Linked DNA regions of Arabidopsis thaliana. The protein of the gene in region 2 interacts with the protein of the main gene of each other region in a pairwise test. Each region holds a gene or a part of one and is shown on either strand. Other genes may lie near its edges.

Region 1 (3,988 bases), 4.3 Mb from region 2:
GCCTGATGGACCCTTTGGCTTGGCAACAGTCTTCCTCATTGTCACACGGCCGCTTCCAAGGACTTCTGATGCCGCAGGGGAAAGGTTCACAGCCTTTCCGGCGAAAGCAGGGGAGGAGAGAGCCATTGTTGAGGCGGCCATTGAAACTTTTTTGTGTTTTTTTTTTTTTTATGACTAACTTGTGAGTGAGAGTGATTAAAACTGGTTCGATAGTGTTGGATTATATAGGGATATTGTAACGTTTGTTATATCTGAAGTAATCTTTATCTGTTCATTCATTGGATTTTAAGATTTTTGTTTTATCGTTTAGTAGTCTTACGTGGCAATCTCTAGTCCACCAGCATTTGTTTTGATTTTTTCATTGCAGCCAAGCGTTTTGTGACCACAAGTTATGAGCCACTGAATACTTCAACGGTTACACTTACTTACACCCTCGTGACAAGAATGATTTTTGCTACAACCCAATAACTAAAACTTAAAGTATAACATTTTGAAAATATAGATTCTGATGATCGAAACATTAATATAAAGTAACATTATAAAAAGCATTTACCCACACATAAATATCAATATTTTCAATGGTAATTAGTTCATCATCACTACCAGTTTAATTTCAATTATGAATCGATTTCATCGTCACTTTATCCAATAACCAAAATAATCTCATGAATTATGTGATATCACCTTAAAACTTTGACGTTTTACTCTTTATCGAAGAAACACAACGATTAATGAAACACTGTTTTAACTTATCGACCATTTCTAAGAACATGAAAGAACTATATTAATTCATATGGCATGTTCATCATCATGGGTTTAGACTTTAGAGAACATATAGCTACTTTTTTTCTTATCATGATTCAAGTTATCTTTATTGTAAACTTCAACAACCTTTTGAACAAACTTATTTATTCGCTTTTTCCGAATTCATCAACAAATTACTCCTCAATCACACTCCTATAGAAAACGGTTTAAGCTATCATTACATGTCTAGTTGGTTTTACTCAGCCCTAGAAGTGTTGTTTATTGCATCACTTTCCACGAAGCACAATTTTTCTTTTTTACAATCACTAGACCTCACAGGCTCACACATATGCTTTAGAGCACATTCTAAACTTTGAACTATAAAAGCTGTTAACACTAATACACTATGCGTTCTTTTTTGCTCCAAACACTTTTGATCCATTATTAGGAGACACTCCACTTAGAAAGATTTTCTAATCCTTTGGTCAACTAGGAAGTTCAAGGTTTTTCTAAACAGAAATTCATTTCACAAGTAATTTAATTTATAAGGAAATGAATAGAGAAATCAAATCATTGAAGAACTACAAAATATAGATTCAAGGTCAGGTCTAAGAAAATATTCCTGAAGCTCAAAAAAGAGTTTTCCTCTCACATTATAGAATTGGCCTTTACTTCAACATTTTCCCACCTATTCCACATTTGGTCAGAACATTTTTAATTACTTGTGGATCAATTTCCGGTTGAAATGGGTTTGGTGAATATCCGGTTCAGTTATATGGTGGCCGTTGGAATTGGCTTATTAGTTGTGGCCGTTGTTGAAGCCGTTGGTATTGGTAAGGGAGAAGCAGACTTGTGGCTATGAGTCTATGACCATGACTCGTGATTATGGAGCTGTCTTATGACCCTGACCATCACCTTGATCTGGTGGATTCCAATGTTTTCTTCTTCTTCTAATAAAATATTATGGTCAATACAGGTGCTAATTAAGATGGTAATAATTTCTTATGTTTCTGTGGTAAAGTTTGATTCAATTCCGTAGTTTTAGATAATCTTATTTCCATACATAAATTTTATAGTTTTATCTACTTTGTTCTTATGTTTTATCTCTAGCCAAGAGTTATTATTATTATCAGAAGAAGAAAAAAAAAAGAAGCATATATACAAAAGGTTTAATAAAATGTATTATACAAGGCAATTATCCAAATTTTTTTTGTTTTGGTTTACATTGATGCTCTCAGGATTTCATAAGGATAGAGAGATCTATTCGTATACGTGTCACGTCATGAGTGGGTGTTTCGCCAATCCATGAAACGCACCTAGATATCTAAAACACATATCAATTGCGAATCTGCGAAGTGCGAGCCATTAACCACGTAAGCAAACAAACAATCTAAACCCCAAAAAAAATCTATGACTAGCCAATAGCAACCTCAGAGATTGATATTTCAAGATAAGACAGTATTTAGATTTCTGTATTATATATAGCGAAAATCGCATCAATACCAAACCACCCATTTCTTGGCTTACAACAACAAATCTTAAACGTTTTACTTTGTGCTGCACTACTCAACCTCAATGGCCGCCTCAACAATGGCTCTCTCCTCCCCTGCCTTCGCCGGTAAGGCCGTCAAGCTTTCCCCCGCGGCATCTGAAGTCCTTGGAAGCGGCCGTGTGACAATGAGGAAGACTGTTGCCAAGCCAAAGGGCCCATCAGGCAGCCCATGGTACGGATCTGACCGTGTCAAGTACTTGGGTCCATTCTCTGGCGAATCACCGAGCTACCTTACCGGAGAGTTCCCCGGAGACTACGGATGGGACACCGCCGGACTTTCAGCTGACCCCGAGACATTCGCAAGGAACCGTGAACTAGAAGTTATCCACAGCAGGTGGGCCATGCTCGGAGCCCTAGGCTGCGTCTTCCCTGAGCTTTTGGCTAGAAACGGAGTCAAGTTCGGAGAGGCGGTTTGGTTCAAGGCCGGTTCACAGATCTTCAGCGATGGAGGGCTCGATTACTTGGGAAACCCTAGCTTGGTTCACGCTCAGAGCATTTTGGCCATTTGGGCCACACAAGTTATTTTGATGGGAGCCGTTGAAGGCTACAGAGTCGCAGGAAATGGGCCATTGGGAGAGGCCGAGGACTTGCTTTACCCCGGTGGCAGCTTCGACCCATTGGGTTTGGCTACCGACCCAGAGGCATTCGCTGAGTTGAAGGTGAAGGAGCTCAAGAACGGAAGATTGGCTATGTTCTCTATGTTTGGATTCTTCGTTCAAGCCATCGTCACTGGTAAGGGACCGATAGAGAACCTTGCTGACCATTTGGCCGATCCAGTTAACAACAACGCATGGGCCTTCGCCACCAACTTTGTTCCCGGAAAGTGAGCCAAGTTTTATCTGTATTTTGCTTCAGTCTTTGCTTCGTGAGTGTGAGAGGAGAAAGAGAGCTTGTTTAGATGTAAAATTTGCAAGACTTTGTATTTTTTTCATTAATCAAATAACTCGTTTTTCTCTCAAATTATCTGGCAATTACCAAATTGGATTCGTTTTATGTCCTTCGGATCACTCAATTGCAGAGTTTATTACCACAATTGAACAACTTATACATGTCAAAGTTAAGTTAATGGTATTGGAGAATCAAAAATTCATTGATTTTATCCGTACAAATCAAACACATTTGTTTAAAAATTCACTTTGACCAAAAATAGATGACGTTTTCCACTAGAAAATATACTAACAAAGCAAAACCAAAAACTGATGAATAATATATTCTTCTACACACTAGTACATTGTAAAGATCTGGTTATTTTTTTCTTCCTCTGGTGTAAAATCTTAATCAGTTACTCCTTCTCTATCGCTTAACTGAAGAGTCATCTTAATATTCATTGAAGCCAACTCTGCAGCCAAGTACCTGAACACATAGGGCATTGCAACTGTTTCCATGCCTTTACTTGTCTTGCAAGAATAGCAAGTTACCTTCTTTGGAGTTCTACCAGGAGGTAACTTTCCAATTTCTTGAATAAGCTTCTTCTGTTGAACGTTCACAACAGATGATGTGAGCAAGCTTCCACATAGCGAACACACATCTGCAATGTGGTGATCTGAAGATGTATGAAGCCTGTCGTGTAATAGATAGGAGGCTCCATGAGCAAGTAGTGAGTCTCGCTCCATTTCACCAAACCGAATCCCACCACCTCGTTTTCTTCCCTTTATTGGCTGATGAGTTAGCTGATCCACTTGTCCCGTAGAT
Region 2 (4,885 bases):
ACAAAAATGTGTAAGCCCATCATTTAAAAACTTGATTTTTAATGGAGATTTACCCAGAACGATTAACGGAAACTAAAATCGAGAAGGAAATGGAGAACATTAAGAAAACAAGTCGGAGAAAATTACTCGTTTCCCGGCGTATTTCTGGATGTGAATGGGAAGGATATAAGGTTTCATGAATCTGAGAAGGTCCTTGATGCCCATTTCCGATTTCTTATCTTCTTCTTTTTAGGGTTCTTGCGAATTTGTCTTCTTTATTTTTCTTTTTATAGCCTTTTTTGTTTTGTTTTTCCAGTCTAGAGTAAAAAAGCATAAGTAAAAAAAAAAACTTAGCGCGAAAAGGCAATGGCGGGAGTGATTAAAATACGACAGATGCCACATCAGCAGTAATAGCGGCTGTTCGACTTTACCAGTCTATGTGGCGAAATTTCGTTGGTCGAAGGAAGCAGCAGTAATAGCGGCAGTTCATGTCCATTTCCAAAGATAGTATGTTCATGTCTATAACCTTCTTAGTTCGTTGCAAATCAGTAGTTTATTACATGTTAAAAATCATTTGGTTCATCTGTCATATTGGATAAAGTTACAAATTTTAGAGAATTCCGCTATTCCACCATTTCGCTATATTATTAATGGGAATCATTTGCCACAAAATGGGAGAAGTAACTCTAAAAACCAAGATCTCGAACGATAAGATAAAGAAGCAAAAACCTAGATTGACAAGAAAACAAACATCCTTCCAAAAACCTCAAGGTACTTCATGAGTTGTCGATAAAAACATAAGTGATAGATAAAACCAACAAGCAGATAGCAGAGAGCAACGACAGCACAAGTGATGAGATTACTAGTAACGACCAATACCCCAAACTCTAATGACTCCATCGGTGTAACCACTGAAGAGGGTGCTTCCATCAGCGCTCCAGTTAAGGCTTGTGCAGTAAATAACCTGACCCAATCAACAAACAAATTGAATTCAGTCACTTTCCATGGTTATTTACATGTACTATTACACAACAAACAAAGGGCTATGTATCAGGAGAAAAATATTACTACTACTATGATCCTAACAAGAAATGTCAGGTAATCAATGAGTATGGACACACAAAACCATTAAAAGACAACCTTAATTGACAATTTAGGCTCAAACTGGGGCGAAAACACAATTATGGTAATTGCTATATATGGAAGATTAAAACAGATAAAGAAGATAGAGAGCCTAAGTCTCCAAACGGAATGGTAATTCAAGCAAACATAATTGCAGAATCTGAAACTGAAACCAAGTGTAGAAGACCATTTACATATATCATCGTGTAGCATTTGAATAGAATAATCCATGTAAGAAACTTTTTACGAACTTTCACATTTTCAATAACAGACCAACATTACGAATTATGATATACTCAGCTATGGGTAATACTTAATCACAAGTCATAATCAACATCATAACCAACTACAGAAAATTCTTCCTATACAAAAGCTGAAAACTTGTAATCGATTAAAAGCATATGATTGAACCATCATGGGAAAATATTTGTGTACCTTCCTCTTGGTGGCAGCAGGACCACTGTTGTCAGCCTTTTCAGCCTCAGCCTTGAGATCAACCTTCAAATCCTCAACAATGCTCTTGCTCTCAAGGTCCCAAATCTTAATACCATGTTCAGTTGCAGCACAGAGCCAGTACCTGTTGGGACTGAAGCAAAGAGCATGGATCACAGAGTTAGCTTCAAGAGAGTAAAGCTTCTTCCCCTCAGCCAAATCCCACAGCAAAACAACACCGTCTTTGCCTCCACTTGCACAAAGAGAACCATCAGGTGATACAGCCACAGTGCTCACGTAACCGGTGTGACCAGCAAGAGTCGATCTGAGCTTGCAGTTCGAAAGGTTCCACACTTTCACGGTCTTGTCCCACGAAGCAGATACAATCGTCGGCTGAAGCGTGTTAGGGCTGAATCTGACGCAGCTAACCCAATCACGGTGTCCCTCACCACCTTCTGAAATGGTGTACTTGCACTCACCAAGAGTGTTCCACAGCTTGATCGTACGGTCACGAGATGCAGAGACGATCTGACGGTTGTCGAGTGAGAAGGCGACGGAGAGCACGTCCTTGGTGTGTCCAACGAATCTACGAGTGGAGACACCAGCAGCAAGATCCCAAAGACGGAGCTCGCCGTCCCAGCTGCCGGAAAGCGCGAATTGTCCATCGGAGGAGAGAACAACATCCTCAACGAAGTGAGAGTGACCAGTGAGACGCCTCTGAGCTACACCGTAGGCTTTGTCGTCCTTGGTGAGTTTCCACAAAATGATGGATTTGTCGCGGGAAGCTGAGACGATGATGTCTGCGTTATCGATTGGGGTGGCGATTGCCGTCACCATGTCAGTGTGTGCACGCATGGTGCCCTTCAAAACGAGTCCTTCCGCCATTTTCGGTGTCTGGAGATGCCTCTGAAACTAGGGTTTTCGTTTTCTCGGGGGAGGCGGAAATACAAAGAAGAAGGGCGTGAAAAACACAAGAAGCTATTTATATGATAGAAACTAAAAATGGATTAGGGTTCATTTAATATGGGCTCATATTATATATTTATTACTGGGTCTTATGTTAATGGGCTTATCTCAGCCCATATTTGGTGGAAGCGTTCGTAATTTGTTTCCATGTGTAAGAAAGCGTGTTCTCCAATTGGTATGTTCTAAAAGCCAAAAACGCATCCCACTACAGACCTTATTATATGGGCTATGAGTTGTTTAGTTCGGATTTGGAGAGACTGTTTTTGAGAATGATTTCTCGTGTTTTGGTGGATGCTATAAGGAATCCTGTTTTATGGCCAAGACTTGAATCTACGTTCGTGACATAATGGGCACGCTAATTCGAACAAAAGCGTCCCTATTTTTATCGTCATTCAGCGTTTTCATTTTCTGAGTTTGCTTTGATTCGAACAAACAATATATACGTGGAATGAATCATGAATGGCGCACAAATATACAACTTTACATTTATCTTACGTACATGTATATACTCATTTATCGTGGTCATTATTTTTGTATAGGTCAAATTTCTAACAACTCTTTTGTGAAAAAAGCAAAATTTCTTATATGTGGTACAGAGATTGACTAATTCGAGATTACATCAAATATAGTTATCAATCTGGATTGGTTAGATGTAATGTAGTACGTACATCTGCCGAAATAGTATAACATCGTATTGAAATAGCAGAAAATCTTATATAATTGCTGTTTTGGATGTAAATATTATGGATTATAGGAAAGCAATAAAACTTGCTAAAGGGAGAGAAATCTACAAAAAAAACCAGTTTGACTTATATATATACCGTTGTTTTACACTTTAAAAACATTTCCAGCTGTATTCAAAAATATAGTTTTGCAATCTGGATGCATCAAATAAGCCAATCCGAATTTAATAAGTTTGTTCAACAATGATAATTTTCTTCGGCTAAACTTATTTAAAAAGTTCAAACTAGATCTGTTGAGTATTAAATTTATTCGAACAGTGTGAGAGAGATATAGAGGAATACTGTAAATTAATTGATTCACTTAAATAAAAGCGGATCATATCTTTATACAATGGTGGATATGAATTGAAAAGTATTAACACGGTATATACTTGTAGACACTTAAACGACTTTATTGAGTCGAAAAAGTAATTTAGAGAAGTATAAACTCTAAATGTCTTCAAACATTAGAATTAACAATGATACATAACTGAAAAGTACGAAACTAATGGAAATACAAAGTACAAACCATAAAAATTGCATATATGTCACAAGAAAATAAAATAAAAAATCCTACTCAAGATCCATCATCCATGTTTATACACCTGCAACAGACAACACAAAAAATGAAAAGTCATTCTTAAAAGAACTAAAGATAGAGAGAGAGAGAGATAGGGATGGAGAGATGAAGAGCTCCCTTCAATCCAAAGAAGAGTGAAGCCATTAAAGGGGTAAGTGAAAGCTCCTGAGATATGGCATCCATAAAAAAAACCTTATCATCAATTATATTGAATTTGATAAGGCTTATGGGATCCATAGCTTAGCAGCTTTACTTCACCCTGCTAAACCCTCCATTGAACTTCAAGGAGCTCTTCCTCTTCTTCTTCCTTTGTTTTTCTATATAATCGTGTGGATCTGCTTTGACTAACTCATATATTCATACAATCAAAAAACTCTTGACCTTCTTTTAATTGGCAGTTACATGCATCTAACCTAAACCTATGCTTTAAAATATGAACAGCATTAGAGATCCAAGCAAGAAAAAGAGAGACATAATGTTGAATACTTGAGTTAATACAAAACCATTGAAAACTTATATATGGTTCGAAACAGGAGACAATTTGACTCAGAAAGAACCAATGGAAGGATAAAACTTGAAATGAAAAAGCTACTAGTATTAACCATAATATATATAGTGAAAAATCAAAATTATCAGATCTATTATGAAAGATAAAACATAGAAAAGAAGAATCCTGAAAAGAAAAAAAGGGAGGAGGAGAACAAAAGTGAAAAACCATTGAAACTTGAATGGCTTTTTAAAGACAAAAATCTGTAGCCCTAATGAGAAAGAAAGAGGGAGTCAAAGATGGTATTCATTTCGAGGACTTTTCTTAAACCCATTAATAGTTAGGATTATTGATTCATTTCACAGATTTTTTTACTTTTGTGATTTAATAGCTATTGATTCATTTCACAGATTTTTTGTTGTGATATTTAATGAAAAGCTATTAAATCACATATTTACAGCAATTGTCACTTCATATATATGATTTCATAAACCACTTATTTACTAGCAATTGTCACTTTCATTACTACTCAAGAACTTACTTTTTTCTAGTTATTTTTCTAATTCACTCTTTTTAGTCTGTTAATTTAATTAATTT

Evidence for each region. Proteins that work in one complex are often made in the same cells at the same time.
Region 1: the proteins of ATARCA (region 2) and CAB1 interact in a two-hybrid assay, tested with the Arabidopsis thaliana proteins (2 studies listed by BioGRID, with this or other methods).

What each region holds. Positions count from the first base shown.
Region 1 is NC_003070.9:10,475,752-10,479,739, forward strand, and holds CAB1 (chlorophyll A/B binding protein 1), read left to right. Parts: upstream 1-2,133; 5' UTR 2,134-2,319; coding exon 2,320-3,123; 3' UTR 3,124-3,363; downstream 3,364-3,988. Other genes in the region: CAB2 (chlorophyll A/B-binding protein 2), read right to left, coding at 1-141; NRPA2 (nuclear RNA polymerase A2), read right to left, coding at 3,571-3,988. UniProt on the Arabidopsis thaliana protein: The light-harvesting complex (LHC) functions as a light receptor, it captures and delivers excitation energy to photosystems with which it is closely associated.
Region 2 is NC_003070.9:6,219,858-6,224,742, reverse strand, and holds ATARCA (Transducin/WD40 repeat-like superfamily protein), read right to left. Parts: upstream 2,543-4,885; 5' UTR 2,419-2,542; coding exon 1,537-2,418; intron 944-1,536; coding exon 842-943; 3' UTR 501-841; downstream 1-500. Other genes in the region: AT1G18090 (5'-3' exonuclease family protein), read right to left, coding at 127-204. UniProt on the Arabidopsis thaliana protein: Major component of the RACK1 regulatory proteins that play a role in multiple signal transduction pathways. Involved in multiple hormone responses and developmental processes.